Linked DNA regions of Lonchura striata. The protein of the gene in region 1 binds, or shares a complex with, the protein of each later gene. Links are inferred from orthologs where the notes say so. Each region holds a gene or a part of one and is shown on either strand. Other genes may lie near its edges. The genes, in order: RGMB and GDF5.

Region 1 (16,628 bases):
TATTAAGCTTGGGCCTGTTTTGCTCTGTTCCCAATCACATTTCACAGCATTCAATTGAGAGGTTGCATTTTCATGGGGGCACTGGCATTGTGCCAGTGTCAAACCATGACACTGTCATGTCTGCTCTGGTGTCCATCATCCCCTGGAGTTGTAGTGAATGCCTCTTGCTCTTAAGGCCACACCATACAAGGGGGCTTTTCCTCTCCCAAACACTTGGTGTAAAAAACTGAGAGTTCCAGATCGTCACACAGGACTCAAGGAATGGGAATTGCCTGTGCAATGATCTGGCCTCTTGGTAAGAAGGGGGTGGGGGGGTGGACACAGCGTGCCATGAGAGAGAAGACCCTCGGGTCAAGTGTGGAGATCCCAGGAGGGATCTCTATCTCAAGTGAAGTGTTTTTTGTGTCCCTGACAATGAGGTACCTACAGTTCAGGAGGTCTTTTCTCCATCGGGTCTCACAGCAGCAGATGTGCGATAGAAGCTCTGTCATCTGCTATAAAGAAATGCCACTCCTGAGAAGGAAAATGGACAGGGTTAGTGAGTCGAAGCTGATAAGGTTCCGTCTTGTCAGTCATTGAGAGGCAGCCACTTTTACTGATGGCACTAAATGATGGATCGCGGCTCCTTGTGCAGTGCCACAACCCACCTCATTTTTGTCTACACGCGAGGTAGGTCTGCGCTCCTCCTTCAGTTTATTTGAAGTGTAGGATTCTCCTCCCCGACCGCCTCTGCAGCCCCTGGAGATGCATTCCCCAAAAATGGATATTGGGCCAGAAAGTGGCCCTCCTGATGGCAGTGGAAGCACTGGCACCTAGATGGGAACTGCCTTGGAGCTGAGTTCCTATCACCAGCCAGGGGCTAAATACAAGTCATGAACAGGACGGGACTGCTGTGGAATATGTCTCAAGCTGTTTATTTTTTAGCATCAGTCTCATTACATGGTTATAACAATGGGAAGATGCCAGCAGCTCACATCCCAGGCAACAAACCAAGAACTTAATGTTACAACTTACTTTATAAGCCTTTTGACCAATCACACAAAAGTATATTGACAGTAGTTCTATCCAATCACTATTAATACACATACCTTTGCTTAAAACAATGCTTGCTTATTTAGAATACAATACTTGCTTGTAAGCCTCAAGATACAATGCACAGAGCTCCATTATTAAGCTTAGAACTTCCTAATATCTCACCAGATATACTTTTCTGCAATTTAGGGAGTTATTCTACCCAAGCGTTAATACACAGACCATTGTTCTATTGGTCCTTTCTTTCTACTTCTTGTATAATTTTTCTGCTGACAAATCTTATAGCTACTGCTTATCTCTAAATCACCGTCCTGCTGTCTCTGAGGCCTGTCTTTTGCAACGTGCCCAAAACCCTCTGCTTTTAAGGAATCCCACAAGTTCCTTGGTGTGGCAGCTGGAGCAACCACTTTGTCTTGAGGCTTCTTTGGTATCTCTTCTCCCATGAGTTGTGCTTTCTGTGTGCATTTGTTGTTATCATGCTGGCATGGTAGCATGGAGGAAGGTTTTAGAAAGGCCTTGGGAATGGTAAACTGAGGAAAAGGATACATTCATGTATGCCCCATTGTTTTAGAAAGGCCTTGGGAATGGTAAACTGAGGTAAAAGATACATTTATGTATGCTCCACTGTTTCGGGAAAGTCCCGCTTCAGCATTCCTCTGTAGACCCCCTTCTCCCCACCCCTGAGCAGTTCCTATTGGACCTGGCCCCTGGGGTGGTTCTGATGTGCCCAGGCTGGACACTGTCTCTATTGTTTAAGACCTTATCTCTTAATTTTGCTGTATAAAACTGTATCTGGGCAATAGCCCAGGGCCTTTGGTCCCTGCAACGCTTCAGGCAATACAATCTATCTGGACAAGCATACCATTGGTCTCTCTTGGTCTCTTTATGTCGAATCCTAGCGGTGACTGAGGCAACGCCGCAGCTCGGACCATGCTAACCCAGACGCTGCCTGGTAAGCCCAGGGCAGCGGGACCGCGGAAAACCCCGGCCCTGGAGGGGACAGCTAGCCAGAGGGTCCCGGGGGGCCGGAGAGGGATGGGTGACAGCAGCGAGGAACCCCCGAGAGCAAAGTGGCAGTCGAAAGAGAAGCAACATGCATTCTTCCATTATTTGGTCAAGGGTTGGTGGTGATGAGACAGGCAAGGCTTGGATAATTCTTTTGCAAACTTCATTTGCATTCATGGAGGTAATTTCCAGGACGATCTGGTCCTGGAGTTCCAGCCCCTCCACACGCTTCTCCACAGCTTCCCTCACACAGTCCACAAAATCTATAAAAGGCTCAGTAACAAATTGTTTAATTGCTGCATATGATGGCATTGGCTCCTTGGTGGGCATAGCCAGGAACGTGCACTCTGCCGCATCCCTGGTCATGTCCAGCACTGCTCTTGGAATTCCCCTAGCCTGCAGCAGTGCTTCATTCCAGTCTCCCTCACCAATAAGGTGGTTTAAAGTGATTGGTTCCTTGGCAAGGTTGAGGCCATATGGGCCCTCTGCCCATCTCTTCCACTTTCTTTCCCATAATTTTTATTCTGAGAGGCTGAGCAGACAACTAAACATGCGATTAAGGTCTGCAGGGACCAATGTTTTTGATGGAAATATTGCTCATAACATGTTCCTGAAAAAAAGGACTTTTGGGGCCAAAATCTCTTTGAGTCTTGCAGAGCTCTTCTATAGCCTTGTAGGAGAGGGGTTCCCATCTAGGGTTTCCCCCCCACCGGCCTATAACAGACTGGAGCTAAGAATGGCTGATCTACTGCTCAAGCCTGTTCCCTCCCTGTTCCCCCCTCCCTCCCCGGTACCTGAGGGACCGTGGAAACCTGAAGGTGGGGCATGGGAAACAAGAGGAGGGTGGTCCAAACCTGGAGTCTGAGGGGCAGAGTTGACAGACCTCTGTGGACTGAGGGGGTGGGCCAATGGTCGGGCCGTGAGAAACTGAGGAGGACTGGAGGGAACACCCACAGGAGGAGGAGCAGAGGGAGGGGGAGTTACACAATTTCCAGAAAGGGCTGCACATACGTCAGCAGGGAAAGAGGAGGTATTTGAGGCAACAGTGGGAAAAGGCACAAAGGGGTTGGGAGAGGGAGAGACGCCTGCCACCATTTCGCATTGGTAGTGCAGTGGTGCCTCTCCAGGGGGACAAAGGGAAAGATTTAGGGGAGCAGAACTGCATTGGGCTGTGCCGAAACCGGGATGTATAACTGGGAAAGAGGGATCGAGATGAGGGTTAGGGATAAAGTTCCTGGCAGCATGGCCAGTGCCATCAGAGCAAGGGTACTGGGGGGACTTGGGGGAGCTAGGAGCACAGTCCACATTGCAGGAGCTGCCCTGCACCTGCAAGTGGTGGGTTGCCTTTCCCTGTCCACCTGATTTAGGGGAAGATAGGAAGGGAGAGCTAGGTGGGGAAAGGGGTGTAGAAAAAACTGGGGATTTGTCCGCTGGCTGCTCTTCAGCCACCCATCCACCTCTTGCGCACCTTCTTTTTTAACCACTTCCCAAACCAGCACAAACAGCTTCATGAAGCTGTCCTTTATGGAGGGGTCTCCACGTTTGATTCCTTCTGCTAATCTCACACCAACTCCCTTCCAAAAATCCTTTTTTCTAACATTCTCTGCCAAGAATCCGGGAAAAGCAAAGAACAACCATCGGACGAATTTTTTAACCAAATGTTTAGGAATAACATCACCCCCCTCCCTCAACTGATGACCCTCCCTTAGGAATCCCTTAACTTGGATATATAATTTTCTCTGGTGAGTGGACAGCCTAATATCCATGCTGCTCACTCACACAATCTCACGCACTTGCCACAGGAAAGGAACAACTAAACAAAAAATGGCCAAAGAGTCGCCAGTGGTGAGCCACTCACACTGCACGTTGTACCTCCCCTACCCTCAGGAGCATGGCCACCCACATAGTGAGGGAAGTTCCGGCCGGGTCTGTCCCACCCACCGGAAAACTTACCCAACTGACGATCTTCAGAAATCAATCTGTGTCAAGGGTCCTCCTCTCAAAGACAGCTCCCTATAGCAATTGGTGAGGAGTTAAAGCCTCATTCCTTGTGGGCATAAGCAGAACAAAAAATCTGTGTGCTCACTCAAGGGCGTTGGTGCTTTCACTGACTGAGTACACACAGTCCAGCAAGGGGCAGTTCCATGCAGAGGCAGCAGTGTTCGTCGTGGCTGCGTCTATGGCAGTGGCCGGTGCGGGGGCGGCCAGTGTGGTCTGGCAGTGGCGGTGGCTATGCGGTCTGGCAGTGGCGGCGGCTACACGGTCTGGCAGCACCAGTCAGGAGACCAGCATGCTGCTTTGGCGTGGGCAGTGTGGTCCTGGACCGCAGCCACCGTGTGTGGGTGGCGTAGTCCCGGCACGCAGCTCAGCAGCATGGCACAGTGGCCGGCATGGTACAGCGACGCAATGGTGGTGGCATGCTGGTCGTGTGGCCTTAAGCAGCAGCAGTGGCTTCCAACCGTGGCAGCCGGTGGCAGTGGGGTCCAGCAGTGCAGCGTCCAGTGGCGGCATCTGGTGGTGTGACTTCCAACAGTGGAGGCCCACAGTGGTGGCACATGTCCCTCTACGGCTATTTTCCTGCCTGATGGTGGAGCACCACCTGCGGCAGTTACCATCCATGGCCCCAGGTAGGTGGAAGGGTCTGGCTAGTACAACCCATGTGAGGCTGTGTGGCCACCATGTGAGTGGACGAGCAGCTTAAGTAACTCTGCACACTGAGAGGAGATGAAGAGATGAGAGAAGGACACTTGTATACCAGCCCAGAGTCCTTTATTTCCCCAAGTGGGGCAAGAAAGGTGCCCTCTGAATGGGTACAGTGACAAATGCTGAAGAAATCAATGATTACAGAAACTTAAATAGGGGGTGGGCGGACAGAGGTGTAAACCTGTCTTGCCTAATGGGGATAAACCAGAGAGGGATACAACAACCTATGATAATGTAGCAGGGATAGGTACAAGGTCAGGGGACAAATAGAAAAGCTAAACTGGAGTGATTGATACAAAACTTTCTGGAAGAAACTGGGGATAGTTACAGGATTGACAGCCAAAAGGGTATAAACAAACTCGGATTGATGGAACCAAATAACGAGAAAACAGGGAGATATGATTGACATATAACTGGGGAGCCAAGTGGCAGGAACTTTTGGCGTAAACAATTTGTATCAATCCAATTGCAAGGGGACAAATGGGAGAGCATAAGACTAATTAACATTGCTAAAACAAACTGACTAAATCAACCCACAGCGCAACACTGTAAGATTTCAGATTTCAGAATTTTGAATTTAAGGGGCACAAATGCAGTGACTTGGTCACTTTGTGGATATCCATGTGAAGCGATGCTACTGAATCTGTCTGTAGCACAGCAGCAGAGGAAAAGCTTCTCAGTTCACCAGGTGTATTGATCCTCAGTATTATCTTTTTATGAGGGAGAGAAAAACTAGCTTAAAAGTGATGGGAGAGGGAAAGATGTCACTATTGAGTAAGAAAGTGGCACAGACTCCAAGAAGGCTGGTTTGCACAACAGGAGCTTTAATGCCAAAAGTCTCCTCTTTATAGACTGACCTGACACATTCTACCTGATTGGCTAATGAACAAAAACACTTTTATCACAAACAATCCTGGAGAAGAACAGAAAAATAACACCTGCAGGTTGTTTACAATAACAAGCTATCATTGTTTCTCTACAACTTCCTAAAAGTCTCACAAGTCCACAGTGAGAAAACTTCTGTTGTTTTCTCACTCTCTGACCAGGTTGTCACATACACAGAAAGATACCTCTGAACTTTCTTCTTTCCTTCTGTCAACTACAGGTAGATCTCTGCAGCTCACAGATTTGCCCAGGGAAACTACCAGACATTATCACAGAACACAGATATTTATTGAAGATATCATACCACAGCAAAAGCAGGTTTGTTGTTTGGTGTGTGCAGCAGGTTTCTTGCTTGTCTTTTCCCTTTTTTTTTCATGAATCATTAATTTTGGGTGCCTAAAGGTTGAGTGTCCCCATGACAAGTGTAGAGTCTAGGGAGACACTAATCTCATATGTGTTTGCATGACACTTCATCCAAGATGGAAGGACGTTTTCTAGTACCATCTGTGTAGCAGTTGCCCTTTGGCAGTTTTCTTTATCTCCTGTTCATGGGCCCATCAATGTCTTGCCACATGACTCAGAGATAACACTCTCCAGGAGCCAGTTCTGTGATCAAAGACACACCTTGTGACTCAGAATGACATGAGCCCATTGTGAGATGCTCTGTCCAGGGGAGAGGAGCTAAGCATTCCCACCTAGATATAGCCTGAGATTTCTAGACATAGAAACAGCCTTCCCACAGGTTTCCAAGAGGACACATCTGGGGTTTTTCCACTGGACCAACTATACCTCTTCTACAGGATCACTGCACAAAAAGAAACCACATCTGCCACTCCAAGAGGACTGCAGCCACTCTAATTTGGACTGCTACCAACATGCTGGCCAAAGGGGTGTCAGGTTGTATTCTGACTTTGTCAGTGGTCTTTCCATTTGTATCATTGCATGTATTTTTTCTCTTTTCCCTTTTCTCAATAAATTGTATTTCTGACTTGGAGTCTCTCACTAGTTTTGCTTTCAAACCAGAATATACTTAAATAGCTTTTGTCTTGTCAACATCTAAGGGACACATCCTCTAAGCAACCCGTGTCCTGTGCATGGCAGGGGGTGTCATTGAAAGCCATCAGAATGTGGATTCACCCATAGGTGTATCTGCCCATTCTCCCCACTCTGACCACTTTTCTTACAGCCTCACAAGTCAGACCTTCTCAAAAAAAGTTCCCTATCCAGCATTGGACTCCTAGTCTCTTTGCAAAAAGAAGATTCCCTTTGGCTTGTGGGAATCGGCAGCATCAGTTCCCTCAGCAAACATTGCTTTTAAATCTCTGTCCCATCCATGATGGATATATACTGGATGGCAGCACATTTTTAAATATTTGCTGGACTCTAAAATCCAGCCTACAGAAGCTGAGTAAATTTCTGAGCTAACTAACTCTCATCAAGTCACAACTTCTATTTTTACAGTGCACATTTGCAAGGACCAAAAGAGGGAAGCAGTGTTGCTAGAAAGTGCAGTTTTATATAGAATTTTCCTCTGTTATTTAATTCTAGATGTCAAAATAAAGTGCTATGGAAAAGAACAAACTGATGCCAGTGCTGCAGGTGAGAGGAGAAGGCACATGAAGGAGAAGGTCAAGCACATGAGTTCTGACCCTGGATAGAGGCAGTCCTCTTGTGAAGCAGGGGAATTTTCAAGGTAGGTGAATCCTTGAGACAGTATGGGGCTGCCAAACAGCACAACAGATTTGTGTAACACAATACAACTCTGAAAAACTTCTCCTTACTAATTGTATACATAAGATGTACATTTCGGGTTTGGTGATGCCCTCCTTTCTAGGGTGCAACAGAGACTTCTGCAGAGGGCAGCCTCCAACTGATTTATTAAAAAAATATGGATATTTATCTAGTACAAATATCCAACTGTGACGGACAAAATCTCTCTAACAGTATAAAGTTAGAAAGTGTATGTTTATTCAACACCGGGCAGCGTGCGGGATAGCTCCCAAATACACACTGTGGCTTCCAGGTGATTACAGAGTCTTTTTATCCATACAAGTATTGAATATCCAAAATAAAAATACATATTAATAATTTTGGTACATCCCATTCCTCATTTCATATGCTAATCATTTCAAAAGCTATTAAGGATGTGTAGTTTGTTCCTTGAAATCGGTCGGTGGTCCCTTTCATGGGGAGGGGTCCCAAACTGAGGAATTAAATGAAGTCTTCCTCGTTCTGACCTTTCTACCTTTTCAATGCAAATATGACAAATGAACTCTTGGTAGAACTCCCATTCCTTTTCTTCAATTGGTTTCAGAACAGAGGAGGCCCACAATTGTCTTATGTTCCTAAAAGCTATTTCCAGTTTTTATATTCTTCATTATAAACCCAGCTAACTAAACATTGTGCTGACAAGCAATCAATTATTAGTTAACTACTAACTCTTAACTTCATCAAAGCCTACTCATTAATTTTAATTAACTCTAGTAAAGCTTATCTCTAACTAAAATCTTAGCTCCTCTAAAATCTCTAAATTCCTTAAAATTTATGTTTCACAACTAGCAGTGTATTTCCAAAAGCCACAGGGGCAGACATCACATTGTAACATAATTGTGGAAGTGATAGTGATCCTAATAATAATCCTAGGAATAATCATAATTGCTGGAATCCTGGATGCTGAGAATTTTAAACTTTCTGTGCTGAAAGGTACAGACTCACAAGAGAGCACTGCATTTGACTTGAAGTTGTGGAGAAGACTTCCAAAATTGATTAACAGCACTGGGATTCCAGGTGTGTAGTTGGTTAGAAGTGTGTAATATCACAGTGGAAAATTTAGAGCTTGGGGTTTTAGAATATAGAAATAAATATGAAGCAAGACGGGGGTTTTAGCGGGGAGAGGCTCTTCTTCGCCTTCTTCCTTCTTCTTCATGGGTTTGGGTGTTGTTTTGTAATTGGACAGAAAAGTCTGCATTGTGGGCTTTGAGGGATGTTATTGGGTTAAAAGGGAAAATAGTCTAGGTGTCATTTCTTAATTGGATTGTTTAGTTTTAAAAGACTTTGTAACAAGAGATAGTAAACCATTTTATGCTTTGTTAATGAAAGACTGCAGAACTGTGAGGTTGTGCAGGCTGTGAGGTTGTTTCACTGATAAGTAATAATAAACACCTGAGTCCAAACATGAAACACCATCTCAAGTGCCTTCAATCCCAACCTCGACAGAGGTAGAAAAAACAAGCAGAGGACCCACACATAATCCTGATGGTAGATTATAACTGTGACCTCACATCCATTGCTCTGTAAAGTCAGGTGCTGTCAGAACCTGGGCCAACCTGTGGGAACAAGTACACATGGCCACAGGGAAGGAGTGGAGCTGCCCCATCTCGGTGTTCTGTAACCCACCCTGTATCTGCGCTGCCATCTGCACTGTCCCACTGGTAACTTCTGCTCTGGGCCACCGATGTCCCGTGCCCTGTTCTCAGCAGTGCCGGTGGGCCACCGGTGTTGCCATTTGCCCTGTCACGCCGCGTCCCTTGTCTGCACCGGAGGTCTTCCATGTCCCATCCCTGAGGTGTCCCTGCCCCCCCGGCCGTGCCCCCTTCTTGCCTGGTGGTAATCCTAACCTATCCCGGTTGAGCCGCCTCTCCTGTCCTAGCGGTGTTCCCCACCCTATTCCGGGGTATTTCCTTTCTTATCACGGCGGTGTTCCCTGCCCTGTTCCGGCAATACCCCTCCCGCCTCACGGGTGCGACTAGTGGTGCGGGCGCTCGGCCGTTAGTGACGCAGCAGCTGCGGCGGCGGGGTCCGCGGCGGGCGGGTCGTTGCCGGCAAGGGGCGTCAGGCGCCTGGGCTAGCCATGACCGACAGCTCAGGTAACCAATAAGAGGCGGCGCAGAAGGAGGGGGCGCGCCGGTCGCAGCGCCGGTGCAGGCGCCGCCGCCGCTGCCCCATCGGGGGTCCGTTCCTTTGTGCGCATCGCGTCCCGCCCCGCTGCCGTGGATGCGGCCGCACCGCTGGAGCAGTAGTAGGCGGATGGGAAAGCACTGTGGAAAACGTCGCCCACTCGCCCGCGCCGCCGCCGCCTCATGCCGTGGTACCGTCCTGCCACCGGCTCGGGAACCTGCATGGCCGGGCATGGGGAGCGCTGTAAACTCGCCCGCCCCCAGGGCTAAGCCGCCGCTCGCCGCTTTGCGGCGGCTGCTCGCCGCACTGGGGCTGCTGCTGCTGGGCGCAGGTACCGGGAGTGTGGGGCTGGGAAGGACGGGTGCGCAGCTGTGTGCGCGCGCAGACGCGGGTCCTTTTCCTTCCCGTAGAGGCTCTCATGAGGCGGGATTCGCGAGCTGGGCCTGTGTAGTCCAGAGGAGAGAAGGCTGAGAGGCAATCTCGTTAATGCTTATAATAGCTCCATCTGAGAGGATGGTGCCAGATTCCTTCATTGGTGCCGAGCGACAGGAAGGAGGCTATAAACTGAAACACAAAAAAAGCTTCACCTCAACATGAGGAAAAACTTCCTTGCATTAAGGGTAGCAGAGCACTACAACGGGCTGCCTGCGAGGTCATGGATTTTCCTTCTCTCGAGGCATTCAAGCCCTACTTGAACACGTGCCTTTGTCACGTGGTCTAAGTGATCCTGCCTTGGCTGAGGGGTTGGACGAGATGATCCCCAGAGGCCCCTTCCAGCGCTAAAAATTCTCTAATTCTGTAATTTATTGAACTGTTTGATGACTGGACAGACTTGCTCAGCTAGCCTGATTTATTTGTGATTAAAATAGTATTACAAATACAACTGAACGGAAACAAAAGTTTTGATGCTTTGAAAGTCTGGCTCTAAATCCAGTATTCCCTCTGTCATTTTGCTTGGTATGGGTCTTTTTTATATATCTGAAAACACAGAAATTGATTGTTGTTGTTTTTGGGTTTTTTTTTCTGTATTCTGCAGAGGTATGTATGGCTTGCACAAAGAAATTTTCAGCTTACCTGCACAAGGCATGGTCATGCTTAGCTGTAGGTGGAGAGTTCCTAATTCTACTTCATGTTGTCATGGGATTTTGACAGATTTGTGTTAGCTACGCATCACTGGCAAAACATATTACCCTTGTAAATTCATAGTTTGGATATTCGGAGTAAGTCATGTGAATACTGACTCAGGAAGGTGAGCTAAGGGGCAGGCAAAGAAATTGCTGATATCCTCCCATCACTGGGTGCATTGAAGAAAGCAGCTATTTAGAAATGAATTATTCATTTGTTATTCAACCTATTTTCCACTTCTGACAGCTCAGAAGTTTCTCATATATTTCGTTTTCCCTTTTTTTTTTTTAACTCTTCCATGGGTCTTTGTGGCGTTCAAAACCTGCTTTATGACAGTGAGAAATTTCAGACAAATGTTCCTACAGATGAATTTTAGTAGATAGTTTTGCAGGCTTGGACAGCTATTGTATGAAGTTGTGCACCAGTTCTTTATGAAAGTCCATTTTCTCTTTGGATGGCAGGAAATGTGAGCTCTCCTAGACTGGGATCCCCCTGCTTTTAACCTGTGGGAAAAGTGTAGGTCTGTTGTCCTTAGTATGTTTTTTTCATTTAATTTTTGCTCTTGGTAAGTTCTTTGGTAAAAGTTACCTTTAGAAAGCTGATGTTAACTGCCATGAGAGTCTGGAATGATTTCAGATCATACCTGTGAGAGCTGTGGAGGAGACTGTAGAACTTTGGTTTGCTTGCAAGGATTTAACTGGTTTTTTTTTAATGGAAATCAGGTTATCAGATAAAATGTGACTGGTGTGCTCATGTAAGTTCAACTGTGTAGCAGTTGTATACATCTGATAATCACTTCAGACTTTTGTGGAGAGAGGGTTTTACTCCCCCCATCTTATGAATTTTGCTCTTTGAGGTACAGTTACTGCAATGTACAGGTGCGTTAGCTGAAAACTTGCACTTCAGAAAACTGTTTTTTTTCATGCTTTAGTTTCAAAAAAATAAGCAGTGAAGCTCTAGCTATGGCATTGCCAGGGAAATAAAGCAAACTGCTTGTTCGCTTATCTGCTCATTCTCCCCCACTCTTGTTTCTAGAAGAGAACTTGGCTTCTGCTTTATTCAGTCTAGTTTTTGTCAAAACATTTTTAGACTTATGTCTAACATCTAAACAATGTCTAAATAACATTACTTTGTTGTCTTTACCACATTCTTCTGAGGGGCAGAATTCTATATAAAAAGCACTTAAAAACTAAATGGAGGCTTCCTTATTGACTAAGTTATTAATTTAAAAACAGAATACCATGACCTTGGTATCTAGAAAGAAATGTGTGGCTTGTACTTGACAGGACCTAGTGCTCTTAATTTTCATCTAGACAATATGAAGTAATGGATTAAGACATCATGAGTCTCATCAGCCTCTGAGATATTCTCCATTGCTTTTATCTTTCAACCTCTTCTTTTTTAAAATGTAATGTTTCCCTAATGAGTGAACACTTTTAAGTTTCTTTCAAGTTGTTTTCTTATGGTTCTTGTGGGAGTGGAAAGGGGTATTGCCACTTAAGAGGTTTGCTTTATGTCTTTCTGCTGTCTGTTTCGTGCTTAGGTGACTGTGAGCTGCACACATCTTGTGGAATCCAGAAGTGCACCACTGATTTTGTATCCTTTACTACACATCTAAACTCAGCTCTTGAGGACTTTGATTTGGAGTTCTGCAAGGCCCTGCGAGCATACTCTGTGTGTACCTATCGCAATTCCAAAGTATGCCGTGGAAACCTAGTCTACCATTCTGCAGTGCTTGGGATCGGTGATCTCATGACCCAGAGAAACTGTACCAAAAATGGACCCACATCCTCCACCAACTCTGAAATAACCCATGATCCCTGCAATTACAGTGGCCACACAGAAGTGAGAGACCATCAAGGGGGAGAGAAGACATCTCCTCCTACTTACCTGTTTTGTGGCTTGTTTGGGGATCCTCATCTGAGGACTTTTAAGGATCACTTCCAGACATGCAAAGTGGAAGGTGCTTGGCCCCTTATAGACAATAAATACTTATCAGTACAAGTGACCAATGTGCCTGTGGTCCCAGGATCCAGCGCTACTGCTACAAACAAGGTAGAGATTATTTTTGTGTACTGTGCATGCATGAAGAAGTGAAAGGCAAACAGTTAAGTAAGTCATTTAGCCCTTAACAATGAAAAAGTGTATTAGCTTGAGAATCTTCTGTGCAGTAGTATAAAAAAATAAAACTCTTAGCATCTTTGTTAATGAGCATCAAACAAAACAGGTTATTTTCTTCCCTCTTCTCTTGTTTAAGAAAACCTGTGCGTATCAACACACAAGCCTGTAATGATACTGATGTAACACTTTAAAACAGTTATTGATTATTGTACATCTGTGACTGCCTCTGTACTAATTAGAAATTTGAAAAATCATACAATGCTTTGGGTTGGAAAAGAATTTAAAGATGTAAAGAATGTATGTTTAATGAATGAAGTTTAATTTTCTAAACTTCACAGCTATAACAGTAGGAAACAAATAATACTGAGAGTGGCACAAAAAACTGGTTACCAAAACACTGATGATTCAGAGCCAAAACAAGAGGGCAAACTGCAGAGAACTGAGAGAAGGTAGCAAGCTGAATGCTTGTGACAAGGACTTTAGTACCTGAGCTGTACTAAACAAACAGTGGCCTTAAAATTATGCCACGGATATTAAACCCTTGTTGAGACAGGGGAGACTTAAGATTGCAATCCTCTCAGATATTTTGAGGAGTCTAGAGTAGGAATACATCCACTAGTATTTAATAACTGATGCCATTTCTTTAACTTAAGAAAAGTCTGTGTCTCTTCCTGCTGGATGCAGGTAGCAAGTGAGTCCATCAATTACTGGATTTGAAGCTGATATTGTCACATATCTCTTTTGGAGTGAAAGGGCTTTTTTAAAAATAGTGTTAGTGTAGCTCTTGGATTGTCAAGCTACATCAGGCTGTATGTACACAGCTTCAAGACATTTACTAAGCAGTCACAAGTTTTTTTGTTACAAGGCAATATATAACTTTCAAAACCAACAGACAGTTGCCACAGGATTTATTTTACTTTTCTAACCTATCACCTTTACTTACTTCTACTGCACTGTGGCTATTTTTATCCAATGGGCTTCTAACTCACAGACATACATATGCATCTGTTATAACTCTGAACTCTTAGCTGATTCCATACAACTACACCCCTACATTATAAACACTTGAGCAGCTTACCAGTATAGTTTCTCATTTACTTAAGGCATATTCTCACCTACAACTATAGAAATAAAAATTTATAATTTTTCTGCTTAGTATCTGTGTTTTGTATTTTTACATGAATCTAAGCTTTTTCTAAGGCTGTAGATCAAACCCTTCTGTGTCTGATTCCCACAAGAAGATAAGTACAAGAACTCAACAGTTGAAAGTGTTGCTTTTGTTTAAGGCACACAAGCCTTAAACTTTCTACAAATACATTAGGGCCTTCTCTAGAAATGGTAGTTTTACAGCTCAGTAACATCATCTTTGAAAGGTTTTATATGTGCAGTGGAATTTAAGAAAGCTTTGTGGTCAGTGTACTCATCAGTACTGGCATCAGTAGGAGTGGGAGGATGAAGTTCAAAATTAAATGTGTAAATTTCTTTGGTTTAGTAATCTTACTATAGCTGATTTGTTTATTGTATCCTTAGATAAGCCTCTGGAAACCTTTATTTTTGTGTTTCAGCAAGCCTCACTGCAGAAGAGCTCTGTACCCAAAGAACAAGGCTGATACACTGATAATTTCAAAGATCTTTCTTTATGTGAAGATTTTGGCATTCGGATTTTTCCATCCTAACTTTAGAAAGGGCAGCTAATCACTAGTCTGTAAACAGTACTGCATAAGCAGCTGTGTGAAGGTGTTCTTGGGACCCAGAGTGTGAAAAGTACCATAGGTACATAAACATTTGTTAGAAATAACCATTTTCACTTTTTAATGCTCTCTGATACCTTGAGAATTTAAAGAGAGAAAGCTCTACAATGACATTTTGCTTCATCTCCATTTGCAGTAGGTTCTGAAGTATCTGTCAGTACCAGGGCATGATACTGAGATAGGAGTGTATGATAAGACAAAGCCCATGCAGCACTCTGGTTTTACTGATCTGGCCTATGGTTTAGGTGGATGTTGCCCAACAGACAACAGAATATTCAAAATCAGTGTATTGAGCTGCAGTGTTTAAATACAAGTATGTCCTTGGAAAATCTTAATGTCTCTGTTGATTCTCTCTTTAAAGTGTCCTTGCAACATACATGGAGGCCTTTATTCATCTAATAAAGCTCTCTAAAATCTAATTTCAGCTTTCTACATGTCTACAGCATCCATTGTTATTGTTAATCTTAAATTAGTGTGAAGGCTTCTTGTTCTTTCTCTGTGTTCTGAAATTGTGTGCATTTCATTCTAGTAAATGAGGGAGTTCTGGAGAGAGCAATTTGGTAGCTGCTTCCTGATCAATTTTGCCAGGTGTCTTGCTTAAATATTTTATGAAGCAGGTAGTTCAGTGTCTCATTAAAACAATGAGACTTCTTTTTGGCTCCAGTCTTGTTCAAGTGCTAAGGAAACTTAGAGTTTTACTTCTGTAGGTGTGTAAATTATTCTTCACAGAACAATGCAAGTGTGCTCAAGAAAATAGCAATGCCTCTTTGTCTGAGCAGGCTGAGATAGAAGTCTGTTTCATTCAAACTGTGTTACACAAAATAAAAGGCTTTTTACTGTATTATGGCCTGGATTATATGCAGAAATACTAATCATTTGAGAGACCTCGAATTTCTGTTCTGTAGGTTGCTGAGTGTACTTTACTAAGAGCAAAACTGTGAGGTCATCTTTACAGCAAAAGAGGCACTTGTGTGTTTTGTGGATTTTGGGCATAAGCATTCCTGCTCAGCTGTCATTCACAGACATCACTTTACTAAATTACTTGACTAAGATGGTCTTAAGGTATATAGCTGATACATCTCATGCTGTATAACTGGTTAATGCAAGGAAAAAACATTGGAAAAATCCCATCAGCACTAGTGAGAACATATGAAGTCAAAATAGTAAGTAGTGTCTGTGTTGTGAGACAAACACTGACAAAACATCCACCACCTGGGATGAGCCAATTACTGAAAATTAATGTAATATTTTTTAAGATATGTGTGTGTACTCCAAAGAAGAAATTGTTGCAATGGGAGGAGAGAGGTGGGAAGACTTGTGTCTTATAAAAATTGTATAGAGAGGTGAGACTAATGAGGCCAGAGGTTTTATTAAAATTGTTTGTAAATGGTTATTGATCTAATCTCTTGCTCTTACTTGAAAGGAGAGAAGCAGAAATAAAAGTTGTGCAGAAGTGTGTTGGTCTTACTTTAAATGAGAGAGGCAGAAATAAAAGTTATGCAGAAGTCCATTGGTTAACTGAAACTAAAATGTGAGGTTGCTGTGGAACAGATTTTAAGTTTAACCTTAGTTTAAAAATCCCTTCTGATATGTTTTGAAGTTTTTGAGTGAGTCTCATAGCAGAATTCCTAAATTGTAGACTGTAACTAATTTGATTAATCAGTTAATGATGAAAATAATTATTAAAATATTTATTCTTGGTGCAAAATGTCTTTTACCTTTTCAGTAAGTTATTCCCTTCTAGTCATTCTTTCTCTACAGGAAGTAGCACATCTGTTTGTAATACTTAGATGTGATTTCTCATTCTAATTTTTGCTTTAGGAAAGCTGCTAGACACTCCACATTTCATCTGCCATATAGCTTAGTTATTCCCTTCAAGTAAGACTTGAGGAGGACCTCAAGGATACTTAAGGAGGACCTGCTTTTTCTTCTGTTGTGACCTACTCCAATAAGTAGAAAGGATTAAAAGGCTAGTTCTTATCTTTAAAAAAATAATTAATTGCCTTATGCTAATGATTTTGATGTTGAAAGTCACTCACTCTTCAGAGGCACATCTTTGGGTATCTTTCAGTTCTGCATTTTCTCTGTAGCACAGTGGATTCAAAGTGT
Region 2 (15,556 bases), on another chromosome or scaffold:
CCGATACATGCTCAATTTAAATACCATTTACCTGAGTCTTTATCTTACTTTATTCCTGCACTGAAAAACTCATACAAGAACAGCAAGAAAGAACCTCAGAGAGGTTTACACGTATTAGGTTTTTGAAAATTGCTATCGTGACCAGCCTCACCAGGACTCTCAGGCTGGTCACCAGCTCTGCAGTGTGAACCAAACAGGAATGTTCCTCCCCCTATTTCCAAGCTATCATGCCTCATGTGTAACACCAGTGCTCCCGTCCACCACGGTTGTTACAGCGCTTGATGAATCTAGGTGCTACTGAAGCAAACTACCCTGTGCAGGCAGTCCTAATCCCAGGAGTTAACTTGTCTTATCTTAGATTTGTTTCAAGTGTATTTAAATAGGCAGTATTTGCTATTTTAAACTGATCACCTTTAGCCATTGAGGAATGTGCCTGTGTGTTTAGTAACTGGTATGGCACAGATGTCAGAGCACATGTCAGAGCAGAGATTTCCTTGGGAATGTGCAAACAGCATTCCCAGAGTAAGAAAGGAGACCATCCTTTGTCATGGTCATCTAGCAAACTTCTCCAGGAGATAGCTGAAGCCAGTGCTAGAGGAAGCTGCAAACACACCTGAGAACAGACAGGAGGAGGAAAAGAACTGCTTGAACAGATAGTGGGGGGGGAAAAAAGCCTGAGCTGCCCTCCTGGCTTTGGACTTGGCAGGGGAATGTTTTCCCTCCTACTGCAGCAACGGTAAAAATCAGCAGTATATAAATCAGGTTTTGAAAAGCTTAGAGTTGTCGGTTTGAAAGACTGGCTGGTGATAAGCAGTTAGTGCTGGGGGTCAGTAACTGCTGCGCCTGGCCTAAGGCTCCATGAGGATGAGGAAGAGCAGGACCTGGGAAGGGACACTGAGAGTCCAAAAGGGAGATGGGGAATCCCTGTGGGCAGCCCTGACACACCAAAAAGGCCCATAAGACACCCTCATTCTACGTGCCTGCTGCCCTGCATGCTGGGCATTCACCGTCCGGGCAGGGGCAGCTTTCTGGTCCCCGGGTTTGCAGCAGGTGGGCAGTCCCTGCAGGCAGGAAAACCAGGCAGTGTCAGCCCCTCCAAGCCAGGCAGCGTCAGTCTTTGCTGGCAGGAATGACCACTGAGCAAATTCCACAGACCAAATCTCCCTGCAGGGCTGTTCTGCATCCCTGAGCTGCAGGTGAGGGCACAGGGCAGGTCCCCTGCACAGGGCTTCCCCAGGTGTCTGGCAGCAAGTCTGCTTATCCAGATACATTAAGCTGGTTAAAGGCTGAGCTGCCCAGAGAGTGCAGGAGGAAGGGCAGAAATTTATGTCACTGTTTATGACCATTGACCAGGAATTTAGGATGGTTTGCTGCTGGCATGAGTTTGAGGATGTCTAGACTGGGGTACTGAGCAGAAGGACCTTGGAGACTGTACTCAGCTCTCTGCCTCTACCCACACCAGTGATGCTGTGCAGACCCAGGAAATTCTATGACTTAATGGTCTAAGTAATATCAAACCTTAGCATTTATATTTTGTATTACTGATTAAATCCTTCAGTAATTTCTGATGGTTCATAGGACCTTTCTGATCCATCTGTAGTTGAACATTTGGTATCTACCTTTGTGGGTGGAAACATAGAGGGACAATCCCATTTATAACTCATGTCTGTAATAGATAACAGGGATATACAAGCACACAGCCCTTAGAGGTTGGAATAAAAGTATACCAAAGCTCTTTGCAACCCTCTGCATAACTCATTTTTGCTCCAAATACATCAATTCATAGTGTCATTCCCCACCAGATCAAACCAGGTCTTCCTTTCAGATCTTTTTTTCAATGTTTCTACGGTTTTTCTCTGTGGCAGCAAAATACACAGACATGTTGTGCATATCCATGGTATTCTGCTCCATGGAAAAGTCCCTTTCACATATTTATTGTACAAAAACATAAAACAATTTCTTAATTGCATTATAATTATGCAGAGTTGGACAGCTAGGCACAATGCAGCACTGTGTCAATAATTTATTACATCTTATTCCATAATTGAATGCTTTTACTATGAGCACTTGAGAACAACTTGGACCTTATACAGAATAATATATTTTGCTACATAATAATGGAAAGGTGGATACTTAAGAAAGATGTGTAGCTTGGAGGAAAACATACATGGAAGCAAATACCTCCTGCATCACCTATCTTTATGTAAAACTTAAAACTAAACCAACATATTATGTTTAATGACCCCTTTTTATATATGCATAGTTTCAAGAGCTAATCAGAAGGAAATCATATTACAGTACATATTTACACCAAGATGGGGGTACATCAGAACACAATTCTTCTCAACATTGGGATTCTTTTCTCACATTTATGAATGGACAAAGGACATAGGAATCAGATAGAAATTCATTCTCCAGAACAATGTTCAAGGAACAAACAGTTCATATCCACAGCTCACTGATCTCATCTCTATCCACTACCTTGCAGCTAAAAGCAGGAGATCTCAAGGTGTACAGGAATCATCTTCTCTGTCATGGACTTCACATAGAGTCAGTCCTGTGTTGCCAGCAGCACAAGGCCTTAAATCCAGCTGAGTGACAGCATCCAAATGCTACTGAAAGATGTCCATGGAGAGACACAAAAACACTGGATTTATTGCTACATCCTTGTAAACATACTTACCCTAGGGGTAAGAAACCTAGTTAACCTTGTTTGAGGAGAAGTTATGTCCAATGTGTCAAATTGCCTTTCATAACATATTCACATAAGCAACTGTTCTGCTACCTACAGCCACAGGACTCCACCACCATGTCCTCGTACTGCTTGTAGACCACGTTGTTTGCAGAGTCAATGAAAAGGATGCTGATGGGGCTCAGCCGGGTTGGGACACAGCAAGTCGGGGGGGTGGACTCAGGGTCCATGGAGTTCATTAATGTCTGGATAACTGCGTGGTTGGTGGGCTCCAGGTGGGATCGGAGGGGGAATTCACAGAGCCCTTCGCAGTGATACGCCTCATACTCCAGAGGGGCTATTATCCAGTCATCCCAGCCCATATCCTTAAAATTCACGTGGAGGGCTTTTCTGCTACACCTCGCCTTCAGGTTCTTGGTGGGCCTCTTCCCTTGCCGTGTTGCTAGAGGAGCTCTTCTCTTCCGCCTCTGGTTGAATAAGTACTCATAAACAGTTTTGTCATCTTGGCCAGACCTAGCTTTGATTTCATTGAAGAATAAGTCTCTTTTTTTCGTCCTCCCAAACACCAAGAACAGAGCCTTTTCATTGACCTGTCTTCCTGTTCTATTAAATCCCACACTCCTGAGATCAACAGCTCTCCCCCTGTCAAAAGTTTCCAGTTCAAAACACAAGTTAACCAAGTTTTTAAAGTTTCTGAAAAGTTTCCAGATGTCAAACACTTCCCACTTGGGTGTATCGGTGATGCTGACAGTCCGAGAGTCCAAGAGTGTTGAGGCTTGTCTGTTTGTAGAGCAACTAAATAATTTTACTTGGGAAGTTTTCCCAGAAGAATGAGACTTCCATGTATCAGAAGGTTTTTTTCTCAGTATTCGAAGCTCTGCTCCCAGCAATCCATCTTTTTCTAATGCACTGATGTCAAAAATATATTTTTGTTTTCTTATAGTTGGTGCTCGCTCATCTGAAAAAAGCACACAGATTTTTAAATGTACATCAAACACAGACCAATATTACTTATTCAGTTCTTAATGGCTTTCCTCAAATTTGCTCATAAGCCTCAAAGTTTACCCACTGAACAGAAAGAGCAATTTTTGTCTAAGGGATCAGCCCCATGCAGGGACTCAGAAGAAATCAGGGACTCACCAGAGAAATGAGTTTCCAAGTCTGCCTTGTAGAAATCCCATTTCTTTCACCAGTGGGCATTTTCTACCTTCAAAGTTGTTATTAGCCAGTTGAAAATTAATACTTTTTCAGGACTGAGCATTCACAGGATCTATTTACCACTTATAACCTACTTAAATTACAGAAAGAGAGCTTTAGTGGTGGCCAGGCCTTATGCTGGCTCCAAACATGAGTAAATTTACCCTTAGATGATGCAATAGTGAATTAGTCCTTTAAAACCAGTATCCCCAGGAACTGCTAGACATAAGGATAATTGCCTCATGAACTAAATCCCACATGATTTAAAATTTTTCAAACTGGGCAGAAAAAAATCCTCCCTTCATCCTGACTTTACAATCACTTGCTTCAGGTGGTGAAGAATATGGCTGAACCATATTCATTCCAGTGATGTGACATTAACAGTGGCTTCCAGTGGCAAGCTGGGAACCTGAAGGCAGCACCTGTGAGCAGCGCATCCCCCCTTCCCAGCAGCCAAGCTATTAATGAAGAGATGGCTAACAAATCCAGTCCTGGCGAGTCTTTCATCACAATTCCTTCACCAGCTGTGTTGCTTCCTTGAGAACATGACAAAACTCTTACAAATGTCACTGGAAGAAAGATGGGGCTCCCAAAGAAGGGTGCTGAGGTGAACATCATTCATTGGGAGGCTGGTTATTTCTCCTATGAAAGCAGACACTAGCCCAAATTTCTGGAAGTGTTTGGAACAGGAATGTTGAGCTGCAAGTTCTGGGTGTTATTACCCTTGGTAGCCTGTGCTGAGCTGTGGGCTCCTTGGTGCTACCTGAAAGTTTTAAGCTACTAAAGATACTCTCACCCCACAGGATAGTGCAGTGTAGTTCCTCACAATTCTACCTTGAACAAACCAGACTGGCCCTTTCATACTGAAACTTGTGGGTTTTTTTCAAAGAATAGCTCTGTTCTTAGCATATTATATGTTTTTAGGCACACTACAATCTAACATTAGCTGTTTCCATGAGCTAGTTTCCAGACAGCTAGAAAGAAAATAAGGCAAAAATGTGAAAGGTTTTTAAACACCTAAGCATGCAAAGACTGATTGATTTTCAACAATATGCATCTAAAATATTTCCCAAATGTTTTCTTTGGCTTCCACACAACCATCTAGTTCTGCCTGTAAATGAGTTTTCCAAGATAATGCAGGAGGACAAAATCTGCAGCAAAGTTGTGTGATTTCATTTACATTAAAAAGAGCTATTTGACTTTACTGAAATATGATTATTTTCCAATACTTTCTACATTTATAAGCACACTCAGACATCTCTCTCTGTCCACACTCACTCACACACAAGCTTCTTTCTTACCTTGTCCTTTGTCTATAAAGCTGGTTATTGTATTGGCAAGTCCAGCCTCCAGTTTTACACTTCCATTAACACCCTTTCTTTCTGCATCTGAGAGAGTCCTGTACAAAGAGAGCATGTATTCATGTGGCGTTATTGGGGGATGTCGGAAAGTTTCCTTAGCTTCCCTCTGGGTTACAGGCTCTTTAGTCTTTTTGGTTTTGAAAGAATCAGTGTCAGTACTGCTTGTGCCAGTTTTTTTCAAAGCCACCTTGCTGCTAAGATTTTGAACCTTTGGAGTCACTGTCCTTACTCCAGAAGGTCTGCTGGGGAGATGTCCTACCTTGCCCTCTGCAGCTGCTGTTCTTGAGGGAACCTTCTTTGAGTCATCATTCTTGGCCAGCAGAGCTCCAGCCTGAGCAGCACTGCTTTTAGTCCTGGCCTTTGAGGTCCCAGCACTGTATCCATGGCTTGAAGTCCTCAATGTACCTGCTCGTGCGGAGGGATTCCTCTCCTTTCCTTCTGCTTTCAAAAAACCTAATTTAGATCCTGGATTACCCTGGCCTGCTTCAGAATTACTCAGCACTCCAGGAACTAGATCCAGAGACAGCCAAGTCAAATGCCAAAGCAGTAAAGTGAGAAAATGCAGGATTTTCATCCTCTGGTCTTCCTCTGAATGCCACTAAAGAAAAAATCAGAAAAGGTTCCTCCAGTTTGGCAGAAGAAAACATGAAAGAAATTAAAAACCAAAGTTAGCAAAAATGGTTTTTGTTTGAGATTAAAACATTTCAAATATCGTTGTTCAATACTTGTATCCAGTCCCATAGTGGAAATGCTCATGTACTCAGATACGATCTCCCCTGACTTCAGTTAGCAGCTATAAAGAACTTGTTCTTGAAAAGAGAAAGTTTACCACCTCGTTTTCTTCTGTAAAACTGACTGAAAACTTGAAGGAGTCTTGTTTAAATCCAAGGTTTTTTTTTTTTTTTTCCAAGAAGGAAGAATGGCGTAATGCTGCCTCTGTGTTAAAAGGTTTTTTTAAAGTTTTGAGTTTTGAATCCTTTCCAGTGAAAATATTTCACACACAGAGATCTGCAGGTGCTCAGAAATCTTTTACAAACCTGAACTCTGGAATTGGAAACGGAATTCCAACAAACCTATTTAATTACTCTCTGATGTCATGCTGTCTAAACTAATTTTACTGCGATATATTTCTTAAAAAAAATCTTCTTTACCCTTTTCATTAGCATGAGTCATACTCTGCCTCATGTGAAACAGCTCCACAGGCTCAAAACTCCAGAGGATGCCTTTTCAAGTGGCAGTATGACCTCTGCCTTAGCCCTCGATGAACTTCACGTTTAGACAGGACAAACTGCAAGATCAACAACTGAGACCTGTCACACAGTCCACTGGACACATACATAAACTAATTTAGAAATAATTCATGTAGCCTTTTTTCCAGAGAGCTTGTAACAGTGGCTTCACTCCGTCCCCTTGTGACTGAAGGGCTGCGCTGGAACGCAGGCGCTTAACGAGGGTAACATTTAATTTTACACAAACTCAACAGGGCCGTGCCCACAGTCAGTGTATTTTGGCTTATTTATTGCTGTGCTTAAAAAAACCCGTGTCAGCCCAGCTGGAGAAGCAGCTCCTGCTGGAGGGGATGCCCCGCGGGGCGGGCGCGGTGCAGCGAGGCAGCAGTGCACCCTGCAGGCAGCCATCCTCCTCCTCCTCCTCCTCCTCCTCCTCCTCCTTCTTCTCCAGAGCCACTCGGGAGCTGGAGGCAGGCCGAACCCTGTCCTTCCTCCCGAGACTGCTGAACACCAGCCTTTGAATTTTAGATTCAAAATGTCCAAGAGCTGCTGACCCTGGGGCCCCAAGAAGGATGCAGGTCAAAACCAGCACTCCTCATGTCAAGGCTGTCCTGCACATTTCAGCCAAATCTGTCTTTCATAACCTGCAAAAAACGAGCTATTGTTCTAGATCAGCCTTCGGGAAAGAAGGCGCTGGACTCAGTAGGGATTACTGGGACTCATCTCTCATCTTGCATTGATGCTACACCCAGTCCTTCTGCAATTGCTTTTCTTTGAGTTAAGATGAAATGAAAAAGGTACACCACCTTTTGGCTTGTCCTGTGTGTGCTGTAGCATTCCCCACCCACCCTGACCAGTATCAGAAACACTGAACTGCTTTCATAAATAACAACCTGCATGACATAAGAAGCTCTGAATGCTTCACTTATTTTGATGGAGGAACTGAAGGATAGAAGAGTTCAGTGATTTTACAGATGTCACAAATAAGGTAGATTCAAATCATGATTTTCCTGATTTTGATCTAATAGCCCTTCCTCTGATGTCAGTTTGCTTTTGATATTTCCCTACAAAATAAAGCAGCTTCTCCTGGGAGTTACCTCTAATGAAACCATTCCCCAGCAGTCATTCCACACCATCCCATGGCCCTCCCAGCCATGCCATCACTTTATCCTTCCCATATTGCCCACCTTTCTGCTGGGTGATGTGCTGTGTCTGGTTCTGCACCATGGGGGCATTGATCAGCTTGCCAGTAAGCCACAAAAGAAGCTAAATGTTGAATTTCCACTTTTAATCTATCCAGCTTCCAGTTTTCACAATGTTTGTAAGAATTTAATATATTTAAAAGTTTGTTTGCTCTATCAAACTTGGCTGTGATTTGCAAACAGATTTAAGAGATGGGAGGTGAAAGAGCAGGAGGTTGGACAATGTGATTACATGGGCATTGTCTTAGTAAATCAAATTAAAACATGATCATTGATATGTTCAAAGAATATTTACATGCCTGAGATTAAAAAATCTTAGTGGGCTGGACAGAGCTAGACAGAAAGAAAAAGGAAAAGCAAGTAAAACAAGCAAGCAAAGGAAAAGAAAGTAAAAAGCAAGTGCAAATTAATCTCTCTCTTTAAAAGAGGCTGTTTTGAAGCAACCACAATCTCAGTGCTTGGAACCATGGGAGCACAGATGCTGTAGAGTGCACTGAGCCCCACAGACCCCAGAATGGAATGCTGACCCTGAACAAGACCCACAGACAGGGGAGTTCCTATGAACCCTACACCAAAGTGGAGTCATTCCAGCTGGATAAACTCAAACTCCACTGATATGTTCAATATGTAGCTAGAAACCCTCCTGCTGGTGAGGCTCTGGACACAGTGGAAGTGGTGTTCCAAGCCTCTCACTGCTCATCACAGCCAAATTTCTGTGCAACCTCAAGTGGCCGCGTTCATGTAGCCCACCTGTCCTTCTGAGCTGTTCTGTGACAGCAGCTCCTCCCTCGCACGGTGTGAGTATGGATTTGAAAAGGGAGGGCCACCCGTGTCCCTGCTCCCTGGAAGTGCCTTGCCTCCTGCTCTCCATATCCTGAGATTATGCCTACATGAGCTGTGATGCTTTCTCAGACAATCTCAGCCCTTCTGATGTAGGATGTCCTGCATAGTCTAGAGGAAGGGATGACTCTGGGGAGCCAGAGGAAGATTTCATAGTGTTGAAAACACTGTCAATCCCTGCAGATGAGCAGCTTCATTGGATATGTGATGCCAAGAGTTACAATTTGCTCTGTGCCGCTTACTTGCAGTTGAAGCTGCACATGGAAGTTTTTATAGTGATCTATCAGGAAATTCACTGTCCTTTCCCAGGTGGACTAATTTCCAGAAAGGACTTAAAAAACTGAGCTAGTGCCATATATTAAGCTATTTGCTGTCATGTTGTTTTGCTGATTGAATCTAATTATCATTCTGTTTCTGTGAGGATTTAGACCTTTGCACCATAGCTCTTGGGCAACTGTTTTCTAGAAGTGTGAACTTACAATTTATGAAGGAAATTAACAGCGCTGTGCTTTTCAAAAGGAAAGAATGACACAAAACCTACAGATGCAATAATTAAAACTTGCTGGTCTTGGGCCAGGGCAAAACAAATGTAATGATGTTTCCACTTCCACGTGAAGGTAGCAAAATTTAAAACACTGTGCTAACATGTTGTGATGTTAAATAAAAAATTGCAAGTCCAAAGAAATAATTGTGTCATTGGTAATCAAGAAACTTGGCTACATCTGCAAGCAGTAGTGAATTACAAAGCACAGAATCATAGAAACATGAAATATCCTGAGTGGGAGTGTTATTTTTGTTTTTTGATTCCTACAGATGTACCTAATTTCCCCAACTCTGAATTAAGGGGGAATTTTTTCCCCCTAATTTTTGGTATCTCTGCCTGTTATCATTTAGAGAAATTCAGGGTTTGTTTCAAGTTTCTTCAAGCCTATTCAGTAACAGAGTCCCTCCATTTGGTATACAATGTTAATTTCCCTGAGTTGCCTTTGATAGGTATTGTTCATCTTTGTAATAGAAGCATATTTATATGATTCAAGATTTGAGAGAGAGATCCTGAGATCCCAAACTACTTTGCTGACAAAGAAAATTTTGATGGCAATTCATTTATTCCACCTCTTTAAAAAAACCCAGAATGTCAGCGCTGAAGCATTCGCTGTCACAGGAAACAACAGGGAGTGAAAACAAGCCAGCGTTATTCAGCAGCCAAATACAAAATGAAACATATTTTTAGCAATGGGCTTAACCAAGTCTCAGGACAATTCCCGATGACATTGCGGAGGGTGCACGATCACTGTTTTTCCTGATTACATTCCCCGCGGCGGCAGAGCGGAGCCCCCAGGGCGGCAGCACCGCCCCGCCCTCACGGAGCCTGCGCTCCGGCGGGCGGCCGGCGGGGCGGGACGCTGGGGCCGGGCCGGCCATGGCGGGCAGCGCCGGCGGCGGGGAGCTCGGCCCGGGCGCGCTGCGGCGGCGGCTGCGGAGCGCGGAGGAGGCGCAGCAGCGCCAGGCGGGGCTGGTGCGGCAGCTGCAGAACGAGGTGAGGAGCGGGCGGTGCCCGGCGGCGGGGAGGCGGTGCAGGGCCGCCCGCGCTGCCCGGGGGCACTCGGCGGGAGCCCGCGGGGCCTCCCGGGCGGGCGGTGCCGAGCGCGGGCTCGGGGCTCGGGGCTCGGGGCTCGGGGCGGCCCCGGGAGCGCCCGTCCCGCCGCGGTCTCGCTGCCGAGCCCCTCCCGATCTCGATCTCGGTGCCTGCAGCTTCGCTGCTGCTCGGCCCTGTTAGCGGGGTTTGTCCCGGGCAGGAGTCGGGCCGGTTTGTTTGCAGAGCAAGTTTGAAAACTCGTTTTGTTCGCTTCAAGGACCCCCTTGAACAGCCCCCTTGAACACTTGGCTCGGGGTACGTGGGGGCCGTAGGTCAGGTAGAGAGCTGCCCGCACCTGTCCCATCGTTCTGCTTGCTGCCGCTGTCTCAGGTGAGCAGACAGTGCTACGGTGAAAGAAACCCTGCCCCAATCTCTGTCATATTAAAGTGACGCTTCCCGATATTGCAGTGACTTCTTGCTGAGTGTATCAGAATCACTGTGCTTGGGCTCGACAGAGTCAGAGAAAAGTTAACGTGAGGTGAGCAGAGTCTATTACAAGCTGCTTCTCTCATCTGTAATCTCTGTATCCATTTAGGTACTGCAGTACCAGACCTGGTGTCGAGAGTTGGAGCAGCAAGTGAAAGCTGGAGGGGTGAGTGTGCTGCAGGTTGTTAACTAAAAAGGGTGTATATAAAGTTCCCAAATGCAGACCAATAAAAACGCTCCACAATCCAATTACAAGAAAGCAGGTTTTTACTGTCTGAGGGTTTAGAGAAACACTGTGAGTTTTCCCATCAGTGTTTTGTCCAGTTGCCATTCTTAGAGCAGTCAGTAGTCCCAGAAATGACAGTCCAGAAAACCCAGTTGAGGATTTTAATTTTGTGAAAGAGTGCTTCATTGGAGTTACATTTGTCCTGGGTCTCGGGAGAGGACTGTGCTGCATGTTACATGATATAGCTGTCCTGGAGAAAGAACCAGTTAAAACACCATTTTGGAAGTCAGGAAGGCTGGTGGTTAACATACAGAACTGGCTCTATGCATTTCTTTCTGCTTCATAGCTAAAATAGATCTGGAAGCCACAGGGTGGAAGAATAGGAGAGCATTCCCAGGCTTCAAGTCCAAATCAGCACTTGAAGTCATGAAGTGAGGACACATAGCAGTGGGAGAGTGAGGAGAGTTGCTCACACTAATACCCTTCCCTTCCTCCCTGTAGTCACAACACTGTTACACCTGGAAGAAGCCATGAGCTCCTGAGATACCCAACAAATGAATGGGAAAGTGGTGGATGCTGACAGTGGTGAAGCACACACTATCATTTGACAAAACATTTCCTTTCTTCTTAAAGGGATCCCTTCCAGGCAGGTGGGAAGCCACAGCAGACCACAGCCTGGAGAAAGCACTGCTTCAGGTGGAAGAGGAGCAGCAAAGGTACAAGAAATAAGCATTTCTTCATATTTGGTATCCTGGATGCTCATGGAAGTGAGGGAAAATCTGTTGGTGTTACCCGGTCTCCCCAAGGGAAGCGGTTGGGCAAGGTGCAGGAGAAAGGTCCACAATCTGTTTTCTGTGGTGCAGTAACAGTGCTGTGTGCTTAATGGCTCTGCTTTGAGTGGGGAAGTGAAAGGTCCTTTCTGAGTGAAAGGTCCTTTTCCAGCTGAAATTATTCTCTGGTTCTAGTAGGTGAACAACTGTGGACAGTGCTATAGAAAAGTGATACATCCAGTGACCATCAGCATGAAGAGGGGGCAAATTGTTACATGTGGGCATTGTCAGGGTTGAAGGGGAAGCCAAAATCATGGATGGAAATTGAGGGCTCAAAGCTTTAGTTAGATGAGGTTTTCAGCACAGAGAGATCTTAGTTAACCCTGTAAAGTGCTTGTACTGCCTCTCAGGCAACAGTCAGTGTTAAGGGAGCTGGAAAAACACAGGGATGCTGGAGAGCTGTTGTTCAGCAACCTCCTGTTTCTCTCTTTTTTCTAGGTGTGAGAATCTGGCAGAAGTAAACACTCTCCTGCGGGAGCACCTTGATAAAGCCAGTGAGGTTAATTCTGCCCTCAAAGAAGATGTTGGAAAACTGACAGTGGATTGGATGAGGGCCCGGGAAGAGCTGGAGGTGAAGGAGAGTGAATGGCGCAGTGAACGTGAGGTGAGATTGGGCTACAGGAGTGCCAGAGGGGAATGGGAATGCATTTTGTTCCTGGCATGGAAAACTTGCTGTGTGGAGGCTTTGGCTCTGCTGAGGATGTACTGGTGCTGGACAGGGGTGTGGGAGGGAGGAGTGTCAGCAGAGGGTGCTGGGAGCAGATGCCCACCTTCTGTGACTGCACTGCTTGGTCGAGAAGATAGACCTGGGCACTGTTGGGCGGTCACAGGAACACTTGTTTCTTTAATAGTTCCTTAATCCTTGTTTTGAGCAATTGAGACCAGAGAGTTCCGTGTGTCTTCAGATTCAAAGAGGCTGACACAGGAACAAGATAGACCTCTTGTACTGTCTGCCTGTTGTAAGCCAACCTGGCACTGGGCTTGAAGGAGCTTGTGTTGGTGTTCCTCTGCTGGGGCTTTGTGGTGATGAATCATGATCAGCTTGCTTGCTGCTACCCACTCCTACAGAAGTGAGGGTGTTCTCTTCTGGGCAGGTGGTTCCCTTCTGTGGGCCTCTGTGGTGCCTCTTCAGTCCTTGATGCCCCTGGTACAGTAGTTATTAAAGGACCCCTGGTGATGGTGATTTACTCTCTCCTGTCTGAGAGAGGTTACAGTGACAGTAAGGGCTGAATTGGCATTTCTTTTTGTCTTTGCATGTTTAGCTTTATGACAACTACTTCAGAGGGGAACATAACCGTCTGCTCAGCCTGTGGCGGCAGGTGGTGACCTTCCGCCGCCATTTCCTGGAAATGAAGACTGCCACAGACCGGTGAGTGGAAGTTCAGGCGAGATCTCCTGCAGCAAAAGTGTGGCTTGCTTGCTTTTCAGTCCTGCTTTTTGAACCTCAATGTTGTGTTAGTTACAGCAGAGATAGGATTTCTCCTTTGGTAGTCAGAAACAAAGCCATTCAGCATGGCTTTGGGCTGAACTTAGAAGAGTTGTTGGCTGCTGATCTTCAGATAAAGCTGAAGGGCTTGGGCCATGAGGACAGCAGAGTCTCTGAGCAGGTGATGACTGTGGTGACGTGTGGGCCTGTGAACACAGGCACAGAAATGCATGGACACCTGGTAAGAGACTCATTGAAGCAGTACATGCAGCATATAGAGTGGTCCCTTTTATGAAATTATAAAAACCTGCCTTTAAAAAATCTTACCAGGTTTCTTTTCCCACTGCTTCTAAGAGAAAGATGATTAATGCATATTTTTTCCCTTTTCATTTATTCTGGTCAGTTTATATCTACTTACTCCTTTTCCAGCATTGCTGAGAGAAAGAATAGCTTCTCTGCCCTGTTACTGCATTCATCCAATTTATGTTGCTTAGTTTGATACCTCTTTTTATGATTGTTTCTTATTCTTGGGCTCTCTGAGTTTTTTTTTCTCGCAAGAAAAATAGTGTAGCTGTAATAGTACTTTCTGGTGTCAACATGCACTTTCAAACTCTGGGTTACTGTAAGCCATTTGTCTTATTTGATTATAAGTCTTCCCTATTGTGTAGAGTCTGCCTGACCTGCTATTTAGTTCTTGTGTTGTTTGTGCTTTTATGTTACAGCATTTCAGGCTGATTCTTACACCACTTTTCTAAAATGTTTCATTATATAGGTATAGTCTTGAGCTTCTTAGCAGTCCAAGTGGGGATCACAGAGCACTCAAGAGCAGAGTGTATAAAAGCTGGGGATGTTGGTAAAATTCCCAATTTCTATTAATGATAATTACAGTATGTTAATAAGAGTTAATTAGAGGTGCTTGAGGCCTTCTGGCCTGTGCCATATCTTACTTCTTATATCTGAGAAGAAAACAGACCCCACACTTGGCTACCCGGTAAAATCATTTTTCAGCTGTCAAGATGTGTCCTGGTCCCCAAGTGTCAGATGAATGACTTGTTCCCAACAAAATTGTCACCTTGCCTGCCAGCTCTTCCTGATGCATGATTGCATGCTTCAGAAGTGAATCAGCTGATAAAGATAGTGGAGTGAAGATTGGCTCTTTCTTGGTTCCTCTTCAGAGACTTGTCAGAGCTGAAGGCAGAACAAATGAGGCTTTCTGGATCTATTCTTGTGAACTGCTCTCGCCTGAACTCCTGTGTGCAGCTCAGGGAGTCCATACCTCTGGGTAAACCTCTCCTGAAGGATCAGGCAGAGCAGGAAGTGATAGCCTTTCCAGTCAGGTGTGACATGGAGAAGAAAGAGCTTCAGGACAGGTAAAGGTGTTTTAACTTTGCTATTTCCAGCATTATCTTTTGTGGCAGCTTCTTGGGTTTACAGATGGGCTGTGCTCACATTTAGCTGTCTCCAGTCAAACTCTTGCCTTCAACGGAAAGGATGGAAAAAAGTATCTGCCTGACAGGAATTCTTCCAAGTAAGACAAGACTGAAAAAGAGATAGCCCCTGAGAATGCTTTTGCTGTTAACTGATTCTTGGTGAAAAACTGAATTCAGCATAAAGAAAGTTGTGTTTCTTGTACCGCCCTTTTACTTCTCAGGGCTGTGCTGAAGGAGTTGGGAGGAATTTGCCCAGGGCCACCATAAGCACTGCAGCACCTCTGTGCTGACAATTCCTTGCAAGACTGGGTGCAGAGGCCTTTGGGCCAAGAAGTGCCATTTTGCATCATCAAGCCTATTAACCTGTAGAGATGAATGCTGCCTTTGCTGTGTTTCCTGGGTTGAACTTTGCTATGCTATGCTTTGGGGAGGTGCTTGGCTCTTTAACAGGTGCTGGTGTGCAAAGCTTTTGGAATGGCATGTAGACCTTCTCTTCTCAGGGTGATGGAGCTCTCAGCCTTGCTTGTACAGTCTCAGAAGCAGAACGAGGAGAAGGAGAAGACCATGAAAACACTTAACGACACAGTGGAGATTCTAGTATGTTTTACTTTTACCTGGGAGATAGCCCAGAGTTTACTCCCCAGCCTGAACACAGAGGTGTGGCTTCCTCAGGAGAAACAGTAGTAAAGATGCTCAGTGTATGGGAACATCAGGCACCTTGGCAAAATATTCCTTGTGTGTTTGGCAGGTGTGGAGTCAGTCCAGATGCAGGCAGTGCCAGAGGAACTCCAGACAGTTCAGGTGTCTTTCTCTGAGGGAAAATGTTCTTCTGCCTGTGACTTTAGGTCTCTGGGGTTCATAGTTCCTTGGAACTGACCATTTAGTAGCAGACTGTAAAAACTAGCTTTTGGTCTTCCTTATAGTTTTAGTAGAGAAGAAATGGAATAGATATGGACAGGAATATACTGGAATCACTAGAGCTGAGACTTAGCAGTGTGACTGCTACTGAGGATAGGAATGCTGCAGATGGGAGAAGCTGTTCCATGCCCACCCTTTCTTTA

What was found.
Region 2: the proteins of RGMB (region 1) and GDF5 are in contact, whole or in part, in a crystal structure (PDB 6Z3J), measured with the Homo sapiens proteins. The link is inferred for Lonchura striata from reciprocal best matches to the Homo sapiens genes RGMB and GDF5. Residues at the interface, in NP_001353437.1 of Homo sapiens: Gln57, Thr60, Phe63, Val64, Thr67, Ser68, Leu70, Asn71, Tyr88, Leu103, Val104, Ser107, Ala108, Leu110, Gly111, Ile112, Asp114, Leu115, Gln118; in NP_000548.2 of Homo sapiens: Leu396, Arg399, Phe435, Pro436, Leu437, Arg438, Ser439, Asn445, Val448, Ile449, Leu452, Ser455, Met456.

The regions. Positions count from the first base shown.
Region 1 is NC_134642.1:53,095,766-53,112,393, reverse strand, and holds the start of RGMB (repulsive guidance molecule B), read left to right. Parts: upstream 1-9,515; 5' UTR 9,516-9,618; coding exon 9,619-9,853; intron 9,854-12,190; coding exon 12,191-12,702; intron 12,703-16,628. UniProt on the Homo sapiens protein: Member of the repulsive guidance molecule (RGM) family that contributes to the patterning of the developing nervous system. Acts as a bone morphogenetic protein (BMP) coreceptor that potentiates BMP signaling. Promotes neuronal adhesion.
Region 2 is NC_134619.1:13,419,587-13,435,142, forward strand, and holds GDF5 (growth/differentiation factor 5), read right to left. Parts: upstream 5,846-15,556; 5' UTR 5,825-5,845; coding exon 5,191-5,824; intron 3,651-5,190; coding exon 2,782-3,650; downstream 1-2,781. Other genes in the region: centrosome-associated protein CEP250, read left to right, coding at 12,187-12,243, 12,902-13,008, 14,241-14,435, 14,996-15,092. UniProt on the Homo sapiens protein: Growth factor involved in bone and cartilage formation. During cartilage development regulates differentiation of chondrogenic tissue through two pathways.